3 linked regions of the Elephas maximus indicus genome follow. The protein of the gene in region 1 interacts with the protein of each later gene in a pairwise test. Links are inferred from orthologs where the notes say so. Each region holds a gene or a part of one and is shown on either strand. Other genes may lie near its edges. The genes, in order: CTNND1, KCTD6 and ZBTB33.

What was found.
Region 2: the proteins of CTNND1 (region 1) and KCTD6 interact in binary tests that used the Homo sapiens proteins (3 or more experiments, as listed by UniProt). The two-hybrid records come from large-scale screens. The link is inferred for Elephas maximus indicus from reciprocal best matches to the Homo sapiens genes CTNND1 and KCTD6.
Region 3: the proteins of CTNND1 (region 1) and ZBTB33 interact in binary tests that used the Homo sapiens proteins (3 or more experiments, as listed by UniProt). The link is inferred for Elephas maximus indicus from reciprocal best matches to the Homo sapiens genes CTNND1 and ZBTB33.

Annotation. Positions count from the first base shown.
Region 1 is NC_064825.1:119,134,358-119,144,406, reverse strand, and holds the start of CTNND1 (catenin delta-1), read right to left. Parts: upstream 4,462-10,049; 5' UTR 4,215-4,461; intron 1-4,214. UniProt on the Homo sapiens protein: Key regulator of cell-cell adhesion that associates with and regulates the cell adhesion properties of both C-, E- and N-cadherins, being critical for their surface stability.
Region 2 is NC_064838.1:63,070,965-63,080,973, reverse strand, and holds the start of KCTD6 (BTB/POZ domain-containing protein KCTD6), read right to left. Parts: upstream 3,994-10,009; 5' UTR 3,231-3,993; coding exon of another isoform or gene 3,171-3,230; 5' UTR 3,043-3,170; coding exon 2,815-3,042; intron 2,409-2,814; exon of another isoform or gene 2,253-2,408; coding exon of another isoform or gene 2,148-2,252; intron 1,572-2,147; coding exon 1,543-1,571; intron 1-1,542. UniProt on the Homo sapiens protein: Probable substrate-specific adapter of a BCR (BTB-CUL3-RBX1) E3 ubiquitin-protein ligase complex mediating the ubiquitination and subsequent proteasomal degradation of target proteins.
Region 3 is NC_064846.1:36,475,013-36,484,885, forward strand, and holds the start of ZBTB33 (transcriptional regulator Kaiso), read right to left. Parts: upstream 3,878-9,873; 5' UTR 3,509-3,877; intron 316-3,508; 5' UTR 314-315; coding exon 1-313. UniProt on the Homo sapiens protein: Transcriptional regulator with bimodal DNA-binding specificity.

The sequences.
Region 1 (10,049 bases):
ATAGTTCTAACCAGAACAGTAGCTCTTCCCTTCTTACAATCTCCCTGTCAGGCGCTATCGGTGCTCTATTGGAAACCTTGGAGGCAGCCGCATTTATGCAGAGCAATCCCTATTTCCGCTTCATGTGATATTTAATCCCCACTGACAGGGAACAGAACATGAAAGAATATTTGTAATTATTCACATCCTGATTACCTACAGTTAATTCCTTTATGTAAGTTTCTTATTACCATTACACTAAATTACCCACGAAAAATAATTTGGGTTCTTAAACTCATAAACTTCCCATACACTTCGTGAACAAAATCTCCTGAAGCTTCATGGCTCTATCGGTAACAAAAAAATACAATGATAACCAAACATATTTTCTTTGAAACACTGATGTTCAAAACTATCATCTCGAACTCATGTTTTTATTAACAAGTGTAAAAAACACTTTCAACACAGCGCTGAGAGCAACACTTCCATGCTGCCACCTAATATGTTCTTGGCGACCAGTACCTCTCCTGTAGAAAATGGATACATTTAAGGTTTTCACGGGTTCAATGATCCAGTAAGGTATGCTGACCACTTCCTTTATTGGACCTGAGCCAACTAGGATTCTCACTGTTTACACTATTCTTTGGACTGCTTCTCCTGAAAGGAAGCAGGATTGAGGACAAATTAAATTTTTCAGTTTATCAATAATTTCCAGAAACTTTGCTCAAAAAATAGAAGGGAGGAGACGTGTGAAAGAAAGGCTGAAACTACAGACTAAAGCAAAAGTTTCAAAATTACAAGTTTATTAATCTATATTGTTTTGCTTCCCAATCTCAACTTCCTTTCAGCCTTGACCCACAAAAATCTCTGATTCTCATCAAGTGCCTTATTTAACCAAGGCTTACTAAGCACTTCGCTTAGTGTACCAGACGTTAAGATAGGTGCTAAAAGGATACAGAGATAACACAGTACCTACACTCAAGCGGAAGCCCTGGTGGCATTGTGGTTAAGTGCTACAGCTGCTAACCAAAGGGTCGGCAGTTCGAATCCACCAGGTGCTCCTTGGAAACTACGGGGCAGTCTTACCCCGTCCTATAGATAGGGTCGCATAGGGTCGCTATGAGTCGGAATCGGAATCGACTCAACGGCACTGGGTTTGGCTTTTTTTTTTTTACACTCAAGTAGCTCACATTATAGTAGAAAAGTCAAAAATGAGTAGACAATTATAATACAGTACAATACATACACTACCTGAACTACCTGCTATAAGACTCTCCTAGCAAATTGGCAAAATCGTTCCAAACCACATGCCTGAAAATCCTCTGAAAAAAGAAAACTCCATCGATGATCAAATGACTTTGAGGCATTTCTGGGGAGTTTAAGAAATTAGGACAGTAATGGTACATATTTGGAAAGATCTGTTCCAAAAAAATTAAATAATATCCACTCTAGCATATCTAGCCGCCATAGGCTTTAAGGAAAACAGATCTTTTACATACATTACCCCAACCTGGAAGACTAGCAAAGACTAGCAAGGGCTCATTTTAGTTCTGGCTGTTTTTCTCTAGAGAATGGCAATGTATTAGTGGTTAAGTCCATGGACTTTGTAAAGATTTTCAACAAACGTCAAGTTTCTCTGAGGCTCAGTTTTCTTAAAAAACGGATGTTGTAGGGAATTAATAGTACATGTAAAATGCTAGCCATAGTTCTTCAAAAAAAAAAAAAAAAGGTGGGTAGGTTAGTAACGGGATCATCAGGTACCAAAATAGAAGGCAATAAATTATACGGAGGTAATCATTTTGTTATTCCAACTGATAGTGATCTATGTTTAATTTATCTGTATCCATCCTATCTCACCACCCCTAGAGAGCAAATACCTCATATACCTAAGGCTGGATTGAAATTGCTTGGAGTTTTGTTTGTTTTTTTAATAGGTCTCCCATAGTCCCAATTTTGTGCTAGCTGAGAGATCATGTTCTCGTCTGACTCTCCATAAATGGAACCCTAAGAAAGAAACTAGAACTCTCACCTCCCAGAAGGCACCCATCCCACCTGGAACACATGTAACAAAGGAACCAACAGTCTATAGGAGTCAAACGAGGAAAGGACAATCTGCATAACTCATATTTGTCTTCATTCTTACCCCAAAAGCAAAACGAGGAGCAAAACAAAACAAACGCATGTGTGTGTGTGTGTATATATATATATATATACATGTAAAAGATTTACTTATCCCCACCCCATACTATATTTCCCGAAAGAACTAATGGAAGTGAGGTAAAAGATAAATATTCCCTCTTATCACCCAAAAGGCTCTATACTACACACCAGTCAAAGCAAAGCCTTCAGTTGGTAGAAACGGTTCTGGATGCTTGTTATCTAGGATACTCCATACAAAGCCCAGTATTTAAAGCCAGACCCAAATCACCACCACTCAGTCATCCAGAACCTATTTTCAAATTGCCTTTGTACTCCTTCAGATTCCCTCATCCCTCCCCCTAAAGGCTGAGTGGGAAACCGACACTCTGGCAGCAACATGACCAACCTTCCAAAGACCAACAAGAAACCTCCCTAGGCTGGTGTCAAGGCAAATAGAACACTGGAAAGAAAATTTAGAAAATATTAAACAAGAACTCCAGCCCAACAGATTGTACACGTTGTCTTTTTTTTTTTAACTGCACTTGGTACAATTATGAGATCGAGGCATTAAACCTTTGCTATAGTCCTTGTGTAGATTGTATCAAAAAGAGGAACAAAGTTCTGTTTCCTCTGAAACCACAACGTTAGAAGGATGAGTCATCTTTCAAGAAATACCCTCATTCTATTAAAAAGAAATCCAAGGAAGTGTTCTAGAATTGGGAAGCAGGGGGTAGAATCAGGGAATTATTAAAGATACATGCCAGCTTAAAGCTAATGAGCAGTCTACACATTAAGGCCCATCTTGTTACCATTAGAGCAGTATCTATTCCAGCTGTAATTTTCAGACTGATTAGCATTTTCAGAGACAGAAGGAAGAGAACGTCCCACTTTTCAGCTCTTCATGAGCTACCTATATAACTCTCTAGAACCAGTATTTTTGTAAGAATATATTTGCAAAAACAAAACAAATCCTAAGATTAAGTATAAGAAAGCAGACATGGGCCTTCAGCTCTTACACATTTCTGATTTCATGGTAAATTAACCAGACAAAAAACTCACCTCCAAAAAACAACTTTCTGTTTGGTTTAAAAACAAATTCTCCTTGGGCTTTCTCAAATGCATTTTAAACACTAAAGTTTGTTTAAGTGGTTTCTCTTAATCTAACCTTATTTAATCCGTTGCCCTCTCAGAGAGCACAAAGCTGAAAATACTTTCAGGTGTGTTGTTACTTTACTCAGGTGAACTAAAAGGCATGATTAGAATTTCCTTATCCCTTTAAGCACATATACCAAACGTTTATCGTATTTGCAGATTTAACATACAACACCTCCACAAATCTCTGCCATCAAAGGAGTTGTAGGAGGAAGGCGGGGATGGCAATTCAGTTAACATGGAACCATTTGTTTTCTTTTATAAGGCAAAACAGGGAGGCTCCGTCTAGCAGGAGTAAGGCTCCCACCCACCGCACCTGGAAAAGTAAAAGGCGGATCCACCCAGGAACAGCAGGGCAGAAACCGATCTGGGCCGTTCAAACTCTCCGGGGAGAAAACACCACCATTTACACTGCAAAGCTCCCTGCAACTTTCCACTTCCACAAATTCAACGATAAAAGAACAAAAAAAGAAGTTCTGAAACATATGAAGAACCATCTGTAAAACTAGCTCCCAACCCGGACAAATTCCTTTCCCAACCCACACGCAACATGCCAAAAAACCAATTTTTGGTTTGGGCTCTGAGCACAGAACTATGTTAGCTAAATCCAGAAAAAAAAAAATACAAAATCAAAGAACACACAAAAATGTAAATTTACAGAACTGCTCTTACCCCTCTGGATCTAGAGTCTCCTTGTATTAGAGAGACCTAGAAGTTTGTTTCCAGGTCTTGCATATTTTGCCTTTTTTTAATATTACTAAAATACTAAAATCTCCCAAAGTACTGAAGGTAGAAAGAAAAAGATAATTGCTTAAAAGTCACCCCTCAGCATAGCAGACTCGCTCTCGTTTTTAAATTCCCTCTGGTTACCATAAAACAAAAATTCGACTGGTTTACCCTCCGTTCCCCTTCTGTAACACATTTTTGTTTTAAAAGGCACACACCTCAAACGTGGACTTCTATAAACCAATCCTTTTAGAAAGAAACCCAAGGCTTCGCCAATGTGCTGAGAAAGACAAATCCAGGAAGGCAGTTGATTTTTCGCCACCTCTTCCTCCTTTCAGGATCTTTCCTGCTCTTCTTTCTCTCTCTCCCTCTCTCTCTTTTTTTTTCTCTCAGATCCAACACCTAAAATGGAAGTTGCACCCAGCCAAAGGCAAGGGAGCCTGGGTGGTGACAAACTGATCTGGCAGCCCTACCCCCTCGCTTTCCTAAGTGATGTCAGCCCCTGAGAACTTCCAATAGGAGCCAGGCATAAATCAGGGAGCTGACCTTATCCAATAGGAAACTTTATTATAGGAAATTAAAAAAAGAGAGAGAGGAGGAGAGAAAGAGACAGGGGGAAGTTATACATATATATATATTTAAAGCAGAGACTATACAATCTCCGAGGAATTACTGCAGAGCTTCGGGGGGGCGGGGGGCGAGGGAACAAGGGCTTCTAAGAATGGCACATCCAAGCCAGTTATCTTTGATGGTTGGGTTCTTGCTCCCTCTCCCTTCCTTTCCAGGTGGGGAAACAGAAAAGAGCTGATTTTATTTGCCTGCTGGTGTTTCATTTGTTGCTTTCTACCTCAAAGGAAGACCGGAAGGGAAGGAGAGACAAATCCTCACAACAGGACTACTGTGTGCCAATGGGATGGGGAGGGGATATCTGGGAGGTAAACTCTCAATTTCAATGTTTTGGTTTAATTGCATTAGAGCTAATTAGAAAAAAATAAATGCTTGGGCTTGTTAACAGTGTTTAGTCTCTACAGTTTCAACTAGAAGGGCGCTGAATCCACTGGGCTGCTAAGTAATATCACTGTGTTCCCATTTGACCCCAAATCAAAATAATGTGGGTTTGAGAGGAAAAGTAAACGGAATCCAATACTGAGCAATATATTTAGAGGGAATACAGCATGTATAAGGAAGACCAAGTCTCACGTGAAGAAAATTCTATTTCAGTGTGAACTCCAAGCTCAAGATGATGTTCATACATTGTCTTTTGACACTTGACCTGAATAAAGGACTATAGGGGTATTCCTCTTCTGAGTTAAGAGATATTCTTAATATGTCCTTAGACTGTAAGACCATGAAGGGCAAGGGCTGAATTTTTTTTTAAATATGGTTGACAAAGATTAGTATTTTACCATCATTCAGTGACTAATGATGAATTAAGATTTCCTTTTTCTTTCTTACTGAAGAATCTCAAACTCTGCCCTGTAGACTGCAGCCAAATTAATCTTTTTCATAAAGTTTTCACAATCTATAATAGTGGTTAAGAGCATAGGTTCTGCAGGTAGACCACCTAGCTTCAAGGTCTATCTCTGTAAGTACACGTATTTACTCGACTAAGTGTACTGCTATGTGACCTTGGACGTGTTAGATAATCTCTCTGAGCCTCAGTTTCCTTAACTATAAAATGGGGATAATAACTGTATATCTCTCACAGGATTACTGTGAGAGTTAAAGTTCTTAAACAATGTATGGCATATAGTATAAACTCATTAAGAATGAGTTATTATTACTACCCTGTCCAAAAACTTTCAATGGCTTACCATTGCCCAATAATAGCAACCAATGATTGACAGTCTATCATGTAAGAGGCACTTTGCACTCATTGTCTCGAATGTCTAAAACAGCACAATGGAGATAGTATTACCTCCATTTTATAGATAAGAAATCAAGGCTTAGCAAGGTTAAGCAACTTGCCTGAGCTCATGTGGTGAAGAAGTGAACCCCTCATCAATCTGACTCCAAAGCTGTGCTCTTTCCATCACCTTACACTGTCCTAAGGATAAAGGCCAAATTCCTCATCTGCTTTCATGGTATCACATTTATTCTTTCAATACATTAAAGTAACACTATTAACTATGATCTGACCTTTCCTTATCGGTCTAAACAGGAATTCCACTCCCCCTCAGCATGACTGTGCCCTTCTAATCAAGCTGATGTAGTCATTAGCTAACTCCCCCCCCCCCATATTTGGTATAGATTCTCATAAACCAAAAACCCACTGCTGTCAAGTTGATTGCAACTCGTAGTGCCCCACAAGGTTTCCAAGGGGCAATTGGTGGATTCAAACCATTGACCTTTTGGTTAGCTCTTAACCACTGTGCCATTACGGCTCCTTAGAGTCCTACAGACCCTCATATTTGGCCTGTAGTGGCCCAAAACGATTTCTTTCAGAAGTGTTGGAAGATCAACCACGCATCACAGCACTTGTTTGACGAGCTTTAAACAAAGAATAGTAGGAAATGAGTACATTATAACAAAGAATAAATAGTCCTTAACACATAATCTAAGAATCTTCTCTCATATCTTCTACCTCTAAACCAAAAAAAGAAACACATCCACTGTCTTCAAGTCAATTGCAACTCATAGCAACCCTAGAGGACAGAGTAGAACTGCCCCACAGGGTTTTCAAGGCTGTAAATCTTTACAGAAGCAGACTGCCACATTTTTCTCCTGAGGAGCGGCTAGTGGGTTCAAACTGCCAACCTTCTGGTTAGCAGCTGAGTGCTTTAACCACTGCGCCACACGGGCCCCACTTCTACCTCTACTCTCCATCTATTCCTGGTTCTCTATAAACCAAAACCTGTTGCCATTGGGTCGATTCTGACTCACAGTGACCCTATAGGACAGAGTAGAACTGCCCCATACAGTTTCCAAGGAGCACCTGGTGGATTCAAGCTGCTGACCTTTTGGTTAGCAGCCACAGCACTTAACACTACACCACCAGGGTTTCCTGGTCCTCTATAGCAAGTTCCAAAGCCAAAGATGATAATCAAAGGAAACAATCAGAAAGAGAAATGTTTGTTTATTCATTGGTTCCTAGATGACAGCCATATTTTATACAGAATTTTCTAGAGCTTGATTAAAAAAAAAAAACCCAAACCCACTACCATTAATTCTGACTCACAGCGACCCTATACCCACTCCACTGCAGTTGAGTTGATTCCGACTCATAGTGACCCCACAGGACACAGTAGAACTGCCCCATAGAGTATCCAAGGAGCGCCTGGTAGATTTGAACTGCTGACCTCTTGGTTAGCAGCCATAGCACTTAACCACTATGCGACCAGGGTTTCCCAGTGACCCTATAGGACAGAGTAAAACTGCTCCACAGGGTTTCCAAGGAGCAGCTGGTGGATTTGAACTGCTGACCTTTTGGTTAGTAGCCCAGCTCACTGTCGAGACGGATTAGTCTTGTTTACTTCTTACACATGTCATTACTCAAAACTTTCAAGTATTTTGTCTTTTTTTTCCATGTTTTTATGTGTGTGTGAATGCATGAGTATGTTTTCTTGTCTCTCCCCCAAAAGATGAGTCCATAAAGACACGGCCACTGTCCTTCTTGTTCATGGTATATCCCTAGAGCTCAGCCTTATATCTCATATTTAGCAGTAGCTGAATGAGTGAATGAACTCTCTTTTGCTTACTAGTTGTATAATTCTGGACAAGTCATTTAGTATTAATAAATTTGTACATAACATTCAAAATGAAATGATACACAAATCAAAAAAAGATAATTAAATGGTAAAATTTAAATTTATTTGAAACAGCCATCTTCAAATAAAGCATCACGAGTATTAATACTCACTGACTGAGGGAAAAATTATTTACACTCAGTTAATAGGAAATAAAAAGACTAGTTCCACTTGGGTTATTTTGAGCAGCTACTTTGAGTCAGGTACTCTTCTAGATGTGGAGAATGATAAGATAGGCAAGTTTCCTGCTCTCTTAAATCTTACCTTCTGGGGTGGGGGGTGCTGTGAAGAGAAGATTAATAAGTAAGATAATGTCGAATGGAATGCTATGCAGAAATTTAAAACAGATTGATGAGAATCTGTTGGGAATGTGAATGACTTGGGGCTTACTCTAGATTGGCTGTCAGAGACAAACTCTGAAAGGGTGACATTTAGGTTGAAATTTGAGTGATAAATACAGGTCAACCACTAGAAGAAAAATATGAGCAGTAAGCAGAGGTAACTGCTAATGACAAATCCCTGCAGTGTGGGGCTGAAACATACTAGGCCAGGCAGAGCATGTTGGAAATGAGGACGGGGGAGAAGTGGGATCAGAATATGAAGCAGCGAAAACAAGAGAGACCCTTAACGAGATGGATTGACATAGTGGTTTCCACAATGGGCTCAAGCATAACAAAGATTGTGAGGATGGCATTGGACTGAGCGGTGTTTCGTTCAGCTGTACATAGGGTCACTATGAGTCGAAACTGACTCCACGGCACCTAACAACAACAACATGGGTCAGAGGGGAAGCCCTGGTGGTACAATGGTTAAGTGCTCGGCCACTAACAAAAAGGATGGCAATTCAAACCCACCAGCCCCTCCTCCAGAGAAAGATGTGGCAGTCTGGTTCCATACATATTACAGCCTTGGAAACCCTATGTGACAGTTCCACTCTGTCCTATAGGGTCACTGTGAGTTGGAATCAATTCCACTGCAATGGGCTACAACAGGCTATGATCCAACTCACATTTTGAAAAGATTTGGCTGCTTATATAACAAGTTAAAGAGGGTCAAAAGTGAAAGTAAGTCAGCTAGTTCAAAGGCTGTTGCAGTGGTCAAGTTACAGAGATAGGGAAGTAGATGAAGGTGGTAGCAGTCAAAACAGAGGGAAGACAATGGGTTTGAGGATATGTTTTAGAGACACAGGGTTGTTTTTTGTTTGTGGAATTTTTTTTTCTTTCTTTCTTTTTGCATGCTTTGCTTTGCATTGCTTTGCTTTGTTTTTAAAGCATGAAATATTACATTCAGTGCTTGGTTTTACAACCCTCAAAGTTTAACTTCCCCACCTACCACCATCACCACATACACACACACACACAAAAAAAAAAAAAAAATACCCTAAAATGGTGAAAAATTAGGGAAGAACTGAGAGAGATTTAAATTATTGTATCATGCAAAGTGCTGTGCTATGCTGAATCTACTTCTAAAACTATAAATATCAAGGAATAGAGATGAAAACAAAATCAACTCCACAGAAACACTGGCCATCCACACGAAGGAAAACAAAATATTTTTACTCCTTTCTACCCTCTGGTGGCTGGCTACACGTTATCATCCAAAGTTTGTCATTCTTGAAGCTCTGGAATGGCCATTGATCGTTTCCCTTAGAAATTCTACTAATACAAAATTTAGCTACAGTGGTGGTGGATTAAAAAAAGAAAGAAAAAAAAAGGGATTCTTCCCCACTTCTTGAAAATTAATTTCATCCTGATGACAATATATTTCTGAGGGGATATAGTATACCTATTTTTTCTTACCACTTCCACAGACTCACCTATATGGGACTCCACCTACTGAACTAAGTCTTGATTCTATAGGAACGGATGCCATGAACAAGTACTGTTCTGCCGTCAGCTTTTTTCCTTTATACTGTTAACAACATCTAAAACCTGCCCTCCTCTTGCTAAGTTTCATGTCCTTTCACGAATTGCTTCCTCTTTAAACTATGACAACTGCAGCTGAAAATCTTCTGCTCCTTTTATTCTTCTGGCTTAAGAAAAAAGGCCTCAAACTAGGAGAACTACTACTTAACTTGGAGGTGCGCCCGTCCTCCCATATTTGGGTCTGCCATCTCAAATCCTTTCTGAAAAGGGGTCAGATAGCAATTATCAACGAAGACATACTTGAGTACTTTGTACTACTCACCTCTCTACTTTTCAGGTCCTCCTTTTCTTAGGCATCTGCCTCTTCTCCTTCCAGTCGGCCTCAGGGTGGGCTGCTATTTAGATTTACCACGCTATGCTACCAGTGTCTTCGGATTCAGAC
Region 2 (10,009 bases), on another chromosome or scaffold:
GCTGGAAGTAACTGAACAAGAACCTGGGTTTTCTGACTCCTAGACTAGATCTTTCTGTAAGTCCCCTCATGGGGTAGAAACTGAAAGCTGAAAATCCAAGAAACAAGAAGTTGAAAGGGTCAACTTTAGATTCCCTACAGCCATCTATTAACACCTAAAAAAAACCCAATGCCCTCGAGTAGATTCCGACTCATTAACCTATCCACCCTAAACCAAAAACAAAAAACCCAGTGCCATCGAGTCAATTCCAACTCATAGCAACCCTATAGGACAAAGAAGAACTGCCCCATAGAGTTTCCAAGGAGTGCCTGGCAGATTCGAACTGCCAACCCTTTGGTTAGCAGCCGTAGCACTTGACCACTACACCACAAGGGTTTCCTATCTACCTATCCACCCTAAAACCAAAAGCAGGGGTTTATTTACAAATTTATCAGTAACTCAGTCTATGTGAGTAGTCATAATAGGTTTATAAAAATTTCTCCAAGGCTAAGAAATGGCAGGAACCTACTAACTAATGTGATTGATGGCTGTGGTCCTTTGTATTAAGTGACATAAAGAACTCTGGCCCATGAACATCTGATTGGTTAAATGGAAATGAAAGACCAAAGACAGGGGGAAAAAAAAAAAAGACACCATCAATGTTACAACTCTTGTACAAGACCTATTAATCCTTTTTTTTTTCTTTTCTACTGCTTAATCAAAACAAGATAACTTCTCGAGCAGTCACAAAAAGAAAAATAGATGATGACCCTAAATCTACTCCACAGCAAAAGGCAAGGTTCCGGAAAAAAGATGTAATGAAACCTCAAGCTTTATAATTCAGGAAAGCAATTATGGAGTCTATATAAGTAGTCCATGTTTCTTAAAAAACACCGAAAAGACTCCCTAGGTTTGTGTATGAGATATATTAAAATACACTTATTAACAATGACTAAACTGTACAAAAAACAAATTGCTCACTAAAGACCCATTAAGGAAAAAAAATAGTATTGATTGGTTTAAATTGTATTTCAACTTACAGAAACAAACAAACCAAAAAAAAAGCAGAAAGATTCCTGGTTATCCAGTAGCTGGGTAACCAGTCTCTGAATTGATGACTATTGGGAACAGCTCAACAGACAGCTCCGATGAGTGAAATAAAACATAATTCAAAAGGGTTTCCGGAACCGCTTCAGTCTTTCATACTAAATCATTTTCTGGAGCTGCTAACAATTAGAAAATGATTCATTTGCTCTTCCTCTTCTCTCTCTTCTGGCACAGTCTCCAGTGGAGGGCTTAATGAGAAGTCAAATGAACACAAGAGGCAACAGACGGAAGATCTTGAAGTGGGCATCAAACGGGCCTGTTTTACTTGGTGATGGCAAAGAAAATTCTATTGAAAATTTGCCAGGAATGAAGATTAAGACGGTAACAACGAAAAAAAATTTTCCTTTATAGTGACTTTCCTTACTAAAGATCTTTTTAAAACACAGTGAATGCAACTAAGCACAAAGGATTATAAAGTTCAAAGAAAGGCTTCTGACCCTGAAAAAATCAGCTCACCTGAAAAGATCTGTGCCTGCAATTCTGACCTGCGGTGCAAATAAAAATTCCTGTGGAAACGACCCGCTGGCCTTTCCCCAGGAACGTTAAGTGGCACTGAAAGTTTGAACTTTGTAAGTTAATTATGACTACAGAACTTCTGACAGAGTAAATGTTAGCAGGTAATTAAGGAAAACACATAGTGCAGAGTGTAAAAGCAATTGTGAAAAATTTATAAAGTAGCAAATTTGAAGAATGCACAATTCAACATGTTGATAACTTAGACAATAACCTAAGAATCCCTAAATGCCATTCTCCTCATCCCTGCAGAATTGCAATGACCGGCTTTATGGTTATGAACAGCTAATTTAACACAAATATTTTGGGTTTATCATTTGTGCTATAGACTCAGAATTCCCTAGGGCAAAAGTCCTACTCCTGCGTTAACAACTTCTTCCTTACAACAGACATCTCCAAATGTGAATAAATAATAATAAAAACTCCTAGCTACCACCTTCCCAAGTTTCCAGAGGTCCTTTCAAAGCCTTTCTATTAAACTCCTGGGTCTGGCATTCAGAATAGAAGACTAAGACAAGTTCTCTCCCATCTATACATACTTCAATTACCTTTGTGTTGAGTTTCTCTGTTCTTGAAAGGTGGGAGTTTGAAAGTGAAACACTTTTTATAGTAACTAGTTCAGCGACATCTAAAGGAGTCTTTGGGGCTAACATTCACACAGGCCAGCTCGAGTAGCCAGAAGCACAAGGAGAATGTGATTAGAGTGTTAAGTTATCCATAGCCATACCACTGCAGAAATAGATATTTTTCTAAAACGAATTCATTTTTCTCTCTCCTCTATCAACCCTGTGGTCTAGAAGAAAGCAGCTCTAGATAAAAAAAAAAAAAGTGGCCTTAATACTAGATAGCTGAGCCACCCCAGTCACAGAATCATAAAATTCCTTACTCTAAGTTTCTTTGAGATGAAGAAACAGGATAATATCGACTTCCTAAAAGGAATTACACCATGTTAGGCACAACCACAAAGGCAAAAACTGACCTACAAGGTAACCAACAGATCAGGATCCGCATTACCCTGCAAGGTAAATCACTGTCTACACGCACCTTCTTCTTCAGGGAAATGGAGAAAATAAGTGAGATCATTAATACAAAGGCACTTGTAAACAGATAAGTATTATACAAGTGGAAAAATACTAGTGGCAGTAGCATCAACTAATTTTCTGTGGTAAATTGAGAAATCAGAGAGTGTGAACACAAGTAACTTAGAGCATTTACATGGAAACAACAAATACGGAGGAAAACGCTTCTTAATCTGCTTTCCGTCGCCACTAGGTCCTTCTTTCCCCCAGAGGTCCAGAAAAGAGAACCACCAGTAAGGAGGAGGATCCAGCTTCTCCAGAGACCACCAGACAGACGTCTGAGCTCTGATGATGGCAGGAACTTCTCTAAAGCATGACTCAGGATTATCTCTGAGGGAAAGCCAGATCGAAATAATGTGTGCATTCCAATTCAAATAAACCCTAAATATCAAAATCCAAAAGACACAAGAGAGAGACGCAGAGAAGGATTCACCCTAGGATTTCTGTCGCTAGTAATGCTTCGCTGAAAATGTCATTTATGAAAATCCTAACCTTACACAATTGAGGAACGGCACCCATGGCCACGCTGACCACTCGATCCTTGATATCCATCGGATTACACAAACTGAAGTAGTGGTTGGGGCTGATGTTTTCAACCAAAGAGCCAATTCCCCCAATCTGCCAACCCTGACTACAAAAAGATTATTTTCCTTTCTACACCTTCGCTCATCTGGAAACGTCTCAATCTTGGGCTCAGGTCTGCGCTAAATGCTGTTCCTAAGTTCTTTCCTATCACTGAATCATTCGTGTCATGCATTTGTGACACAAGAAATGAACATGCCAGGAGGGATGGGAATGGCTAGGTGACCCCAAACATTCTTCGTCAAACCAGGCCACCCCAAACCTCTTCTATCACGAAGTCCTAAAACTGTGTTCTAGAGCCGGTAGACTTGAACAGAACCCTAACTTCAGAGGAATATCCAAATAGGATCTGTCACGCTTCGTCTTCCCAGTCCTACCCCCAGACCCAGACCCCGCTACCGTCAGCCTGGCGGGCGGTTCGGGGGCTCCCGATTACCACGGCCATTTGTCACCCGTGACATCAAGCCTTGAAACACGCCAGACCCGCAAATCTGGGCACAGAGGGCTCAGCGGCACACCTGGGTGTCTCCGGGGCAGAAAATTCCCGAAGCCTGGGCTCCTACGCCTTAAAGTGGGGCAAGCGCCGGCTAATAGCCACTCCCCGCAAACCCATCACCCCGAGCAAACGCGCCGGGTCCCCGCCGCCCCGCAGGCGAAACCCCAGCCGACCCCGGTCCCGACGTGGGGCGGGCGATGCTCCGGGCCGGGTGGGGGCCGCACAGCACCGCGGGGACCCCGGGCCCGCCGAGACCCAGGCCCGGCCGCTCGGCCGCGGGCAGCCCCTCCGTGCGCTCGCGCCGCCCCGGGGCGCGCGGCCAGGCTCCCCGCGGTGCCCTCTGCGCCGCCCGCCATCGCCCGGCTCCGGACGCCCCCGCCCAGATTCTCCTCAGCCCGCTCCCGGCAGCTCCCGCGGGCTTCCCCTCAAGCCGGCCTTCCCGAGCCCCAGCCCCTCAGGCCCCGTGCCCGCCCCACTCACTGCGCGGCGGCGGCGGCCGGGCCGGGAGACGCCGGCGGCCCGAGAGCGCGAGCGCAGGGACGAGCGAGCCCGCGCCCGGCGGCGGCAGCGGCGGCGGCAGAGGGGACGACTGAGCCCGCACCCGGAGTTGCGGCACTAGCCGCCCGGCGCGGGCGGCGCCTCCCGAGCCGAGCCGCCTCGAGCGCGGGCGCCCCCCAGCGGCGGCAGTGCGCGGGAAGCCCGAGACCCGGGGGCCTGAGTTGCTCAGCCGGGCAGGGCCTAGGCGGCTGGGTCAGGCCGGCTCCGCCGCAGCCTCAAAGCCCCGCCCCGCAGCCCCATGGCTCCGCCCCATAGCCCAGAGGACCCGCCCCCCGCCCCGCCCCGCCCCGCCCCGCGGGCAGTCGGGGCTCTGCCCATCCTCAGGCCGGCCATTCACGGAGATTTGGTGGCTCCACGGTTGTTTCTCCTCAGTCGCTCCGTGAACATTTATAAGCCCCTGGCCATGGTGGCCTGGTGGTTAAGAGCTACAGCTGCTAACCAAAAGGTCGGCAGTTCGAAGCCACCAGGCGCTCCCTGGATACTCTATGAGGCAGTTCCACTCTGTCCTATAGAGTCTCTATGAGTAGGACTCGACGGCAACGGGTTTGGTTTGGTTTCGGACCATGTGCAAAACCTGGGGGTTAGAGGGGGGACCGACCACCAAGACAGAGGTGGATCCTAGCGAGGGGAGAAAGCAGACAAGACTGAAGGAAACAGAGAGTAAGCAAAATAATGACAAGTTATGGTAAGTGATAGGAGGGGTGTGATCAGAGGACTTAGATGAAAAATAAGGGGAAGGGCCCGCTGCTTCACATGCAGTGGCCAAGGAAGACATGGATGCCCAGATCTGTGGTGAGCCCCTCCTGGCCCTGACCTCCAGGGGGAGGCCACCCTTACTCAAGCAGCTTCTGGCTATTATATAATTACAGGTGTAATATGGGCTGTGAGAAAGCCCCAGGCCACCACAGCCTGGCCTGATGGGTAGGGCAGGGCAGGGCAGGGCAGGGCAGGGCAGGGCAGGGCAGCTAGGCCTGATGGGTCAGCATAGGCAGCCAGTTGGGGAGAAGGGCAGAGAAAAACCAAAACCCCTTGCAGTGGATTCCAACTCACAGCGACCCTACAGGACAGAGTAGAACTGCCCCATAGGGTTTCCAAGGAGCACCTGATGGATTCCAACTGCCGACCTTTTGGCTAGCAGCGAACTCTTCACCACCACGCCACCAGGGCTGTCAGCAGAGAAAAGAGTGCAAAGGCTCTGAGTTCTGAAGGAGCTTGGGAGCTGCCCAAGGTGAGGCTGGTGGGGGTATTGTCTCCATTTCACTAAGAAGAAAGACAAGGCTGCAGAGGTTGGGAAGCCACTTAAAGCCTCAGAGCGAGCTGGTCTCCAAGCATGGACTTAGTCCTCAGCCCCCTCTTCCCAAGTCCTGTTTCCTTCTTTTTCTGTCCCTAGATCTAGATCTCTGTGCTTTCCCAGGCCAGGCCAGCTATAAGGCTTTCGTTTTGCCATTTCCTCGTCTCCATCAGGACAACCACCGGCCTCAGAAGCTCATCGAATTGCATGTCTGGGTTTCAACTTCTATCACAGTCATATCTGATACTTGGTTTTTCTCAGAAAACTCAAATTGATAGGCTAAATAAATAACATGCTTCGGGAACATAATTGAGTGTTATAGTTATGCCGACATAATTGACGTGTGAAAAGACTACGTGAGGACTCAGGGAAATGCGTGTGAAAATAACCAGTACTCAAAATGTTACACGTAGTATAATTTTAATGTTAAAAACATAAATTTGTTGTTGTTGTTAGGTGTCATCAAGTCAGTTCCAACTCATTGCGACCTTATGTACCACAGAACGAAACACTGCCCGCTCCTGCACCATCCTTACAATCATTGTTATGCTTGAGCCCATTGTTGCAGCCACTGTGGCAATCCATCTTGTTAAAACATAAATATAGGTAGACAAAAATTTTGAAGGAAATAACACCAGATCATGGATCATAGTTCTCTAGGTTGTAGGATGGGAGTGTGAGGGACATTAATTCCTAATATTCTGAATTTTCTATATTTTCTTTCTTTCTTTTTACAAAAGCAAAACAATACTGAAATTACCTAGCACTCAAATCTTCAGGATTTGGTGCCACTGAGAATCCAGAATGTTCTTGGAAGAGTCACTTCCCCTCTTGAGGCTCCTGTTTTCCCAATTAAAGAATGAAAGAGATTCACTTTGGCAGTGTTTTTGTCACACCTGTTCCAAGATGAAGCCTTCATTGCTATTGCAAATTACATTTTTTGTTTATATTTTATAATTTATTGATGGCTTATTGAAATGTAATGGCTTTATATAATGACCTTGTACTCAGCAAACTTGATAAACTGTTCTTTTTAGTTATAATTAGTTTGCAGGTTCTCTTGAATTTTCCATGTAAATAATCAAAGGGCCTACAAGCAATGACAGTTTGCCAGCTTAGCCTGTCCAGTCTTTATTTCCTTTTCCTTGTCTTACTGCACTAAGACCTCCAACACAGTGTTGAGTAGCAGTGATGATAGTGTACATTCCTGTCTTGTTTTTGACTGCTTCTCATGTTTCACCATGAAGTGTGGTGTTTGTGGTAGATTTCTCATAGATCTGCTTTATCAGAGTAAGGAAGCGCTATTGGGTTATTTAGTGTAATTATGAATGGGTGTTGAAATTTAACAAATGTGGTTTTTTCCCCCTAAAATAATGAATTGCACTCATGGATTTTTGTATATTAAACCAACCATCCATACATTCCTGGGATAAACTAACCCTGAGGGTGTATTTTTTTTTTAATATACTGTCAAATTCCACTTACTATTTTATTTCAAGTTTTTGCATCTGGGTGTATGAGTGAGTTTTGCCTACTCTTTTCCTTTCTTAGTCTCTCCTTGTCTGCTATCAAAGTTATATGAGCCTCATAAAATAAATTAAGGAATCAGGGTCTCTCTACTAGAGCAGCTTCTATAAGACTGGGGTTTGCTGTGGTTTGAATGTTCTGTGAGATTCTCCTGTAAATTGTCCGGATCTCTTGGTTTGAAGGGGTGGGGATGGAAAAGATTTACACTAGAAGCTGTTTTACCCCCACAGAGCTCAGGGCTGCTAGCCTGTGGAGGAAGCCAGCTTCTGGTTTGCAGCCATCCCTGTGACCTTGGGCCTCTCTTTTCCAGGTGGCCTTCAAGTGTCCAGGCTCCTGTGATGAAGAGGTGGCCTGGAAGGGGCTGTTTACTATGGCAGCTACATGGCTACAGATGCACAGGGGCCCAGGAGGACACTGAGGGAGGCAGCAGTTGGCAAAACCATTTGGTGCTTTCAGACCAAGATGGAAATTAGGCCTGAAGTTCTGAGTCTCCCCCCTTCCCCTCCTCCCAGCTCTCTCTTCATGGGTGACCTCACCTCCCACTTGGCAGGAAAATGATGCATCCTCAGTGGGGGCTCCCTGGCTCCCTCCCTCCTCTGCCCACTTCTGGGTTTACCTGCATTGTGCTGTCCTCTCATAGGATGGCTGAGGGATTCTGCCTCCTGTCCAGGTGATCCCCTCCCTGTCTCTGGGTCTGTCCACTTTCCAGCCCATTTACCTCTCTAGGCTCAGATCTTCAGCCCCTCGTCTCTCCAGGCCCCCTGCCACCAGCAGATAAACAGCTTCAGGGCTCTATCTGATGTTAATTTTCAGATCTCCCCCTCAACCCTATCTCCCCCCATCCCAGGCTGCTACTCCAGTGTCCTCCTCCTTTTCTTCTTTTGCTGTCTTCCTGACTTCTGCCTAACATCCCAACCTATAACATTCAACCTGGCTACAAGATCCACCTCTCCACCTAACTGGTCCTCAGTGGGGGCACCAGGAACCTCCTTGTTGTTGCTGAAGCGAAAAGAGCCCCACCGAGGCCTCTCGGCAGTGATGCAATTGACCACTGCCTACTCCCCTTGGCTTCCAGAACGTCCTATTCCAGTTTTCCTCCCTCCTCTGAAGTTCCTCCACTCAGGCTCACAGGGATGTCCCTCTTGCTTTGCCCACCTCTTATGTCCAGGTTTCAGGCCCAGGCCATAATCTCCTCTCCCTCTGCCCCTTCCCGTGGACAGGCTCAGCCATTTCTCTCTTTAAACCAAAGGTTCCCAAAACCATACCTCCAGGCCATAATCTCTTCTCTGTCCCTACCCATGAACTGCCTCAGCCATTACTCTCTCTAAGCCAAAGGTTCCCAAATCCACACCTCCAGCCCAGAATTCTGTAACTCCAGACCTACAGATCCCACATATTCTATAGCCTCTACCATGTGCCATGCACTGGGCTAAAAGCTTTTACCTTATGTATCAGCTATCCATTGCTGTATAACAAGTTACCCCAAAATTTAGGGGCTTAAGATTTATCTCACAGTGTCTATAGGTCAAGAATTTGAAAGCACATTGGGTAGGTGGTTCTGGCCCAGGGTCTCTCATGAGCTTGCACTCCAGATGTTGGCCAGGGCAGCAGTCATCTGAAGGCTTGACTAGGGCTGGAGAATTCACTTCCAAGTTCACTCACAATGGCCTTTATCAGGAGGCATGAGTTCCTCACCTCATGGGCCTCTCCTGATGATATGGCAGCTGGTTTCCCCCAGAGTGAAGGATCTAAGAGAATACAACAGAAAAGCCACAATGTCTTTGTAAACCAGCTTCGGAAGTGACATGTCATCACTTGTGCCACATTCTCTTGGTCACACAGAGGAACCCCAGTACAGTGTGGGAGGAAACCACACAGGGTATGAATAGGAAGAGTGGTGATCATTGGAGTTATCTTGGAGACTGGCTGCCACAAGCTCACAGCAACTCTGATGACAGATTAGCCTCCTCCTCATCCCATTGTTGTTGTTGTTAGGTGCCGTCAAGTCGGTTCTCACTCATAATGACCCTGTGTACAACAGAACCAAACACTGCCCGGTCCTGCGCCATCCTCACAATCGTTGTTATGCTTGAACACATTGTTGCAGCCACTGTGTTAATCCATCTCGTTGAGGGTCTTCCTCTTTTCCGCTGATCCTGTACTTTGCCAAGCATCATGTCCTTCTCCAGGGACTGATCCCTCCTGATAACATGTCCAAAGTATGTAAGACATGGTCTCGCCATCCTTGCTTCTAAGGAGTATTCTGGCTGTACTTCTTCCAAGACGGATTTGTTCGTTCTTTTGGCAGTCCATGGTATATTCGATATTCTTCGCCAGTGCCATAATTCAAAGACACCAATTCTTCTTCAGTCTTTCTTATTCATTGTCCAGCTTTCGCATGCATATGAGGCAATTGAAAACATCATGGCTGGGTTAGGTGCACCTTAGCCTTGCTTTTTAACACTTTAAAGAGGTCTTTTATAACATCTCACTGTACAGATGAGAAAACAAGGCAAGGAGAGGTGCAATAACTTGATTGAAACCACACAGCTGAGCGTGGGAGGAGAGATTTGGATACAGCTCGGCTGGCTTTGTGGCTTTCTCCTCCCTCATAGTCCATACTCCGATGGTCCACCACCAGTCTCCTCACCCTCAACATGTGCAAACCTGACTCTCTCCTTACCACCCCCAAACCTCTTGAGTCCCCAGCTCAGCTCGGTGAATGGTGCCACCATCCATCCATCTGCCCAGCCCAGAAGCTTTGAGTCATGTGGGCTCCTCCCACCCCCTCACTTCCTAGTGCCAGATAATCCAGCCCTGCCAAGTCTTCCTCCTCAGTGCAGCTGGGATGCATCTCTCCTTCTCTCTCTCTTCATC
Region 3 (9,873 bases), on another chromosome or scaffold:
CTGATTTAATTAACTCATCAAGTAAATCTGATCTAACACGGACAATTTTAGAACTATAGATATAATTGAGAATTTCCGCAAAAATCTCTGCTCTTATAAAGCTCAGTTCAACAACTTGCCCGGCAACTGCAAAGAGCTGATGGAAATATGTACTAGAAGCTGAAAGAATATTCCTGTGGGCCCGGAATTTTCGGTCTTCCACAATAACGGTAACGTCACAGAAGAGTCCGTGGCCACGTTGCTCATTCAAGGAGTTAAGCAGACTTCCAGAGTACTGAGTGTCTGTAGCAGAAATAAGTTTTCTACCTTCCATGCCTACAAAAGAAAGGGAGGAAGAGGGGCCAGGAGAGGGACAGGGTTAGGCAGGAAAATCAAAAGTATTTTATCATTCAGAATTTAAGCCACGGCATCATTAAATAGTTTAAGCTTTAACAGAAGGCTGGTGTTAACTTTTTGGCTTTTTATATGAATTGTTCATACTGGCTGGTTTTTGGACCACGTGTCAAATCTTATTACTTTACAGAGAAGGGCCAAACAAGCTTTAAATTGCTCTACAGATTCAAATAGTAATCTCCATAGCCACTTTCCCTTGACACTCAGATACACCCATTAACAATTTTTAAAGATTAGAATTAATTTTCTTATTCCCCAATTTTGGGTCTTCTCATTTTTTTTTTTTTTCAAAAAGATAAAAGTTAATTTTTAACTTTTTGGGGGGGTCATTTTTTAAATTGTGGTAAATATATTGGTAGGAGCCACTGCGTAGCGCAGTAGTTAAGCACTCAGCAGCTAACCGAAAGGTAGGTGGTTTGAACCCACCAGCCACTCCATGGGAGAAAGATGTGGCAGTCTGCTTCTGTAAAGATTTACAGCCTTAGAAACCCTATGGGGCAGTTTTACTCTGTCCTACAAGGTCGCTATGAGTTGGAATCGACACGACGGCAGTGGGTTTGGTTTTAGGTAAATATTTAGGTAACAAAACATTTGCCATTTCAACAATCTTCACATTTACAGTTCGGTGACATTAATTATGTTCAATTGTTCGACCATCACCCTTATCCATTCCTAAATTTTCCTGTTACCTTTAACAGAAGCTCAGTGGCCCCCAAGCCTTGTGCTTTCTTTTCTCCCTCCCTCCCACCCACCCACCCACCCCTGGTAACCACTTATACACTTGCCTACACAGATGTTTCATATAAGTGGGATCATACAATTTTTGTCCTTTTGTGACAGATTTATTTCACTCAGCATGTTTTCAAGGTTCATTTTAACGTTCTTAAAAATTTGTTTTAAGAAAAGCCTTCATCATGTACATATAGAAGTTATTTCATCTATAGTTGAATCAATTAGTCAGAAAAGCTTGGTATATATAAAACTGAATGCAAAACATATATTCTTTCTAAATTTTAACAAATTATCTTAGGAGCCTTGGTGTCGCAAGTTAAAAGCTCGACCACTGCTAACTGAAAAGTCAATGGTTAAAACCCACCAGTGGCTCCAAGGGTGAAAAGACCTGGCGATCTGCTCTTGTAAAGATGACAGCGTAGGAAACCCTATAGGGTCTCTATTAGTCAAATCAACTTTATGGCACACAACAATAATCTTATTCTTAAGAATATATTCAAAAGCTACTCCCCGCAGCCTACAACTTAATCAGCATTTAAAAACACTGATAATCATTACCCTTCAACTTCCTATTACTTTTCTGTTATTTAAATGAAGTGCCTCATCTCAATAAAATATTAAATGTCTTTCTTACTGTCTCCTCTTTCTTCATCCTTTTGCCCCTTCCCCTCACCTCTCTACCTTTATAGTCTCCAGAGGTGGAATGTTAAACACAATGCCAAGTCAACAGATGCTATTGTGAAAAGACAAAGGAAAAGGAAAGCTTACTGTTTCTCAATGCTTACTTGCATGAAAACGTGAAATACTTTATTTTCTTGGTAAAGAATTATGGGCATTGGTATGAGAACATTTTTCATATCAAATGAGGTAGTGAAGATGAAAACATTAAATTATTGGAACGGAGCAGACATTATTTTAGAAAAGGAGAGGGAATACCAGTTTATAGTATTGCCATGCATCATCCCCAAAACGCTTTTTTTTGCACTTCGCAAAAGACATTCTAACAATGATGCTGAGAGTTGTGCGGGGGAAAAAAATACACGTACATATGTATATGTGTATGTATGTATACATACATATTAGATGTTAACAATTAGTTTATTAAGTACTTTTGGCAAAGAAACAGTTCTATTAATATTCTTTCCCTTTAAAGTTACCAAAATAGTGCCACTGTCACAGTGCTTAAGTTATGTGAGTAATACTACACACGTGGAAGGTAGTGCGTCTCAAATATCTTAATTTTTCAAAATTATAGTTTAACAACAATAAATAGCAAAAAGTGTAAAAAGCAAGGATTTAAAACCTCTCTGTTAGAAGGTGTTGCTTGTTAACAGTACCAAGGAATTCCTGGTTACCATGAAGACATTCATTGGAAAGGGTGACCTTTGGACAGCGTGCCAACCACCAGGGCTTCCGAAATACGGAGATTTCGACAGAAGTCACTTTTCAAGTGGATACATTTTCTGAATACGCTCCCACAATTTCTGTCATTTACAAATGAGTTTTTCCAATATAAGCACGCGTCAAATGTATACGTCCAGGTGACGCTGAGACTTGGTTTTGTTTTATTTAGGTCTCCCCTCCTCTACGTCAGGTCAGTCAGAACCCACCCCCAAGATTTGCGACCTGATGTTGGAAAAGGCATTCTGCATCGTTGTGAGGCGAATCCTTGACCGAGGGTAGGTGAGGGAGGGGCTAGCGAAGGTGGAAAAGAGAGCGAGAAAAGCCATGGGCCAGGGGGTGAAACAATCCGACACGCGGCTCCCTGCGGCAGCTGAACCCCATCTCCCCTCCTCCACCTCCCTCTTCCCACTTTGCACCCAGCCGGCTGCAGCCGAGGTTTTGAACCTCAGTTCCGTGAAAAGACGGCTGCTCGCACAGACAGGCGGAGGTGCAAACAGCAGGGAGAATCAGGGGTGCCAGGGAAAGTAGAAGCTGGCGAACAGAAGGGTAGGGTGTTGGGGGGGGCGCGGCAAAGCAGGCGGCATTGTTAAGCCCCGGGAAGGGGGCGGAAGGGGAGGATGGGCCGGCAGAGAAGCTCGAAATCAAAGTGGGGGCTAGGAGGAGGAAAGGGGGCAGAAAAGGGCCGGCAAAGGGGCAAGAAAAGGCCGAGTGGGTGTCGGGGGCGGGCTCCCTACGCCCCGGGCCTACCCGGAGCACGGACGGCCCCTCGGGCCCTGACGGCGATGGGGACCGCGCCGCGGCCCTCCTGGTTCATCCCCTCCTTCACTCCGGGGCCCACACAAAGAAAGGGCCAGAGAAGGGGAGCTTCTGGCCGGCGCTTCCTGGTTCAAGAGAGGAGAATGCAAACGGCAGCGCGGCCCAGGGACCGAGGAAGCAGGCGCGCTCCTCCGCCCCTCCCGGACTGGGGCCGGCTCCTCACCTGCTTCCTGGCGCCGCCGCTTCTTCTCGGGCCGCGCGGAAGGGTGGGAGTCCGCCAACAACAAGAAGCGGGACTCCCCGGCGATCCTGCTGCTGCTTTAAACGTCGCTCCAGTCTTGGTCGACGTCGACGCTGCTGCCGCTGCCACAGCTGCCCCAAGCCGCCGACAGAGGGCTCAACGCGGGGGTGAAGCGTTGAACTTAAAGGCTCCCTCCTCCTCCGGGCGCAGTTCGGGCCCTTCCGGAAAGGCCCGAACCCTAGGTGGCTCCCCTTCGGCGCGCTACTCGGCTTTCGGCTCTTTCCGGAAGGGGCGGAGGAAGACTGGGAAACTGTTGGAGTAATCTCCTTTTTCCGGAGGGCGAAAGGGTGGGAAAAAGGAAGAGGAAAAGACAGGATAATGCAGTCGCAAGCAGTTGGGATGGGAGGGAATCTTGTCGCTTTAATCTAAAAGGCACTGTAAACTTCTAGGGCCCAAAAACTTTTAGACCCTATACAATTTTCATTTCTGTTGCAAGTTTGAAACTGCTCTATTAGCCTGTTTGCTGCATAATCCACATTACCGTGCAGTCCATTCCGAATCTTTGCGACCCCATGTGTTACAGAGTAGAACTGCTCCATAGGGTTTTCAAGGTTGTAATCTTTACGGAGGAGCCCTGATGGCAGAGTGGTTAAGACTGGGCTGCTAACCAAAGGGTGGGCACTTGAAATTCATCAGCCGCTCCTCGGAAACCCTATGGGGCAGTTCTGCTCTCCTGTAGGGTCACTATGAGTCAGAATCTACTAGACGACAACAGGTTAATCTTTTCGGGAGCAGATTGCCAGGCCTTTCTTCTGTGGTCCCACTGGGTGGATTCAAACTGCCCATCTTCAGGTTAGTACAACGAGTGCAAACTATTTGCACCACCCAAGGACCTTGTTTCCTGATAACCACCTTGAAGTATAATCTGAATAAATATAATCAAAATTTATCAACACATTATGATAATTCAAGTTCTAGGATAACAAAACAACTACATTATAGTAATTACTTTTAAGATAAAAAGTTAGTGTTTGAACAAGTACTGTCTTCTTAATTGAGTACCATATGATGCAACTGTTTACTGACCACCTGCTTGTTGTTGTTCAGTAATTCTTAAATGAGTGAACAAATGAGTTGTGAGATCCATCATTTTAAAAAAATCCTTTGGCAACACACTTCTGACTGAATACCATGATGAATGAAGCAACAGGATGGATATTTGGAGAACAAACTATTTCCCTTTAGGCTTGGTATTGATCATATTCAGCTAAGGAACCAGATAGCAGCTTCTTCTGCAACAATTAAGGCCACTCACTACCTCCATTTCCTTTTTCCAAAGATATGTATAGAATAATATTGCATACGTTTTCAAAAACTTGAATTTGCACCTATTTGCCTTTTAGTTGGAATCTCTGTGCTTCTTTTTTATAAAAATCTTGCTGAAAATGTCCATCTTTCAGTAGCTATAGGGTTGCTATGAGTCGGAATCGACTCGATGGCAGTGGGTTTGGTGGTGGTTTCAGTAGCTTAGTTGACCAAAACTAAAAATGAGACAGAGTTGCTGGGTGACACAAGTGGTTACATGCTCAACTACTGAAAAGTTGGTAGTTTGAATCCACCCAGAGACACCTTAGAAGAGAGGCCTGCTTCGGAAACGTCACAGCCTGGAAAACACCACAGAGTGCAGTTCTCCTCTGCCTTGAGTGGGATTCAACTGCCATGGGATTGCCTTGAATGGGAATCAACTCAACAGTAACTAAAAACAACAGGTGAGGTACAATGAAAACCTGTTCGTTCACAGTACAGGACACCTCTTCCCCACTGGTCATATCCCTCACCCTCCTCCAACACAGCAAAAACTAAACTAAAAAAAAAATTAAAAAAAGAAACCCATTGCCATCTAGTTGATACAGAATCATAGCGACCCTATAGGAAAGAGTAGAACTGCCCCATAGGGTTTCCAAGGAGTAGCTGGTGGATTTGAACTGCCATCCTTTTGTTTAGCAGCCTTAGCTCTTAACCACTGCCCCACCGGGGCTCCAAATTAAAACCCCAGAAAGCCAAACCTATTGCCGTCGAGTCAATTTTGACTCATAGCGACCCTATAGGACAGAGCAGAGCTGCCACATAGAGTTTCCAAGGAGTGCCTGGTGGATTTGAACTGCCACCCTTTTGGTTAGCAGCCATAGCACTTAACCACTACACCACCAGGGTTTGCTAAACTAAAAAAGCTGTCTATAATTAAAGGGAATCTAATGATCATTTTTTTTTAATGATCAGGAAAAAAAATTTTTTTAATGATCAGGAAAGGAATTTTATTTGTAGGAAAGCAGAGCAGATCAAGAAACTTGAGTGGCCCCAATAATTGTCTTTGGGACAGGATCATTGGAAAGTTTTGTTAACTTTCTACTTCTCCACAAGTTTACTAGTGAGCAAGATAATTCACTTTTCACTTTCTTTTTATCTGTAGGCTTAACCCTCTTTCAAATAACCCAGTAGATTTTAAAGAGAAGAGCCTATGTTAAATGGATTTGGAGATAGCAATTGTTTCATATTCCAGAAAGGTTTTTAATTGGCAAATAATGGATCAGTCAGGTTTTATAACCGCATTGTCAGTGTTTGCTTGTCTTGTTTGAACTTGGTTGTGAATTCCATGAGGGTAGCAACTGCCCTCTCCTGTGGTAAAATGCCAAGAATCTTGCAGGTGCTTAATATATACACATATATATATATGTATATGTATATATATATGTGTGTGTATATATATATTAATTGTTGGTGATGAAAGATTCAAAATGGCATTAATTCAGTCCCAGAACCCTTCCTCTGAGCTATGCTTAGGGTCACAGATTTGGTAAAGCCACTAGAAAATTATAAGAAGAAACCCCTGTATGGTATGATGGAAAAAACAAAGGCTCAAGGGGCAGATGTGGGTGGTTTAGAATTCTGGTGTGTCATATGCTACTACTGTGACCTTGCTCCTGGTCCATCATTTGTAAAGTAGGGATAAAAATACAACTATAGGGTTGTTTTGAGGATTAAATGAATTAGCTAAAGTGTCAAACTGCTTACAGTTCCCAGAATATGCCATGCTGTTTACTGCATCTATGTCTGTGCCTGTAACTCTGAGCCTGGAATAGCCATTCTATTCTTATCCACAATTTGCCTCTCCTGTTGTCTGGCAAGTACCTGATCTTCCATAAAGACCCAACTCAAGCATTAAATTATTATTATTATTTTTATAGACTGTACGTGTATTTTGTACCAGGGTATAACCCACTCCACTACTGCCCCAGGGTATAGTGAAATTGAAAACAAACTTTTAAACATCTGAATATTCTTCCCTTGATGCTGACCTCTCTTCTAGAGCATGATTTTACTTGCTCGTTACATTCAAAAATGTCCATTCAGAATTTGGAATTTTTGTTTTTTATTGTGCTTTAGATGAAGATTTACAGAGCAAATTACTTTCTCATTAAACAATTAATACACATATTGTTTTGTGACATTGGTTGCCAACTCCATGACATGTCAACGCTCTCCCATTCTCGACCTTGGGTTCCCTATTATCAGCTTCCCTCTCCCCTCCTGCCTTCTCATCCTTGCCCCTGGGCTGCTGTGCCCATTTATTATTGTTTTGTTTTATGGGCCTGTCTAATCTTTGGCTGAAGGGTGAACCTCAGCAGTGACTTCAGTACTGAGTTATAAGGGTGTCCGGGGGCCGTACTCTCAGGCTTTCTCCAGTCTCTGTCAGACCAGTATGTCTGATCCTTTTTTTTTTTTGAGTTAGAATTTTGTTCTACGTTTTTCTCCAGCTCTGTTCAGAATCCTTTCTTGTGACCCCTGTCAGAGCAGTTGGTGGTGGTAACCAGGCACCATCTAGTTGTTATGGACTCAGCCTGCTGGAGGCTGTGGTAGATGTGGTCCATTTCAAGCCTTAAATTATTTATGAAGCCTTCCTGACCCAATAAATGGTAGATCGCTGTCATGGATTGAATTATGACCCTCCCCCCCAAATTGTGTATCAATTTGGCCGGGCCATGATTCCCGGTATTGTGTTATTTTCTTACATGTTGTAAATCCTGCCTCTGTGATGTTAATGGGAAAACCCTGTTTGCGTAGTGGCTAAGTGCTACAGCTGCTAACCAAAAGGTCAGCAGTTCAAATCCTTGGAAACTCAATGGGGCAGCTTTACTCTGTCCTATAGTGTCCCTAGGAGTTAGAATCTACTCCACGGCAATGGTTTTTTTAATGATGTTAATGAGGGGGGATGGGCAGCAGTTGTGTTAGTGAGGCAGGACTCAGCCTACAAGATTGGATTGTGTCTTGAGGCAATCCCTTTTGAGACATAGAAGAGAATGAACAGAGAGACAGGGGGACCTCATACTGAAGCCATCAACTAATAGGTTCTTGTGAAGCAGAATAGCGAATTGAAGTCAGCCAGACGCAGGGTTGGAAGAACAGAAAGGTTTATTCACAGTTTGCAAACTGGGAGGCAGGCAGGGAGGATCTGCTGACCTAAGGCTGTCAGCTCCCCAAAGCAGGGCACATTTACTCCTTTTATAGGTGACATACATATGCATGAACAGCAAGTGCAGAATCTTTAATCTTCTGATGTGGGTGCAGTCCACATAATTTTAGTGAATGAGTTTTATGCATGGCTCTAAAAATACTGTGCAGAGCCCTAAAAAAATGGAGACTGCTTGCTACTGCTACCCCAGGAAGGTCATATAGTGGGTAAATTTAGAGTCAGCGCACCTGCACCTCAACCTCCTGTCAGGAGAAGAGAAGAAAGGGGGATTTGAGCAATCCTGATGAAGTGCTGTAAAAGTTGTAACAAAAATGTAGCAAAAGTAGACTTTTCTGAAAACAACTATTATGGGATGGTTAATAACCCTTTCATGACTGCCTGTTTCGATACCACCAAGAAAGCAGTACTGGGAGCGGAGTGTGACCTGGGGTCCCTGTATGAAGACACTCCTAGTCTGAGGGAACGTTGATGAGAAGGCTGACAGAGAGAGAGAGAGCCTTCCCCTGGAACTGATGCCCTGAATTTGGACTTTTAGCCTACTTAACTGTGAGGAAATAAACTTCTCATTGTTAGAGCCATCCAATTGTGGTATTTCTGTTATAATAGCACTAGATGACTAAGCCCCCACGTGTCTGTCAGTTTGTCATACTGTGGGGGCTTGCGTGTTGCTGTGATGCTAGAAGCTATGCCACCGGTATTCAGATACCAGCAGGGTCACCCATGGAGGACAGGTTTCAGCTGCGCTTCCAGACTAAGACAGACTAGGAAGAAGGACCTGGCAGTCTACTTCTGAAAAGCATTAGCCAGTGAAAACCTTATGAATAGCAGCGGAACATTGTCTGATATAGTTCTCGAAGGTGAGCCCCCCAGGTTGGAAGGCACTCAAAAGATGACTGGGGAAGAGTTGCCTCCTCAAAGTAGAGTCAACCTTAATGACGTGGATGGAGTAAAGCTTTCAGGACCTTCATCTGCTGATGTGGCACGACTCAAAATCAGAAGAAACAGCTGCAAACGTCCATTAATAACGGAACCTGGAATGTACGAAGTATGAATCTGGGAACGTTGGAAATCATCAAAAATGAAATGGAACACATAAACATCGATATCCTAGGCATTAGTGAGCTGAAATGGACTGGTATTGGACATTTTGAATCGGACAATCATATAGTCTACTACGCTGGGAATGACAGCTCGAAGAGGAATGGTGTTGCATTCATCGTCCAAAAGAATGTTTCAAGATCTATCCTGAAGTACAACGCTGTCAGTGATAGGATAATATCCATATGCCTACAAGGAAGACCAGTTAATACGACTATTATTCAAATTTACGCACCAACCACTAGTGCCAAAGATGAAGAAATAGAAGATTTTTTATCAGCTGCTGCAGTCTGAAATTGATCAAACATGCAATCAAGATGCATTAATTACTGGCGATTGGAATGCGAAAGTTGGAAACAAAGAAGAAGGATCAGCAGTTGGAAAATATGGCCTTGGTGATAGAAACAATGCCGGAGATGGAATGATAGAATTTTGCAAGACCAACGACTTCTTCATAGCAAATACCTTCTTTCACCAACATAAACGGCGACTATACACATGGACCTGGCCAGATGGAACACACTAATCAAATTGACTACACCTGTGGAAAGAGACGATGGAAAAGCTCAATATCATCAGTCAGAACAAGGCCAGGGGCCGACTGTGGAACAGACCATCAACTGCTCATATGCAAGTTCAAACTGAAACTGAAGAAAATCAGAGCAAGTCCACGAGAACCGAAATAAGACCTTGAGTATATCCCACTTGAATTTAGAAA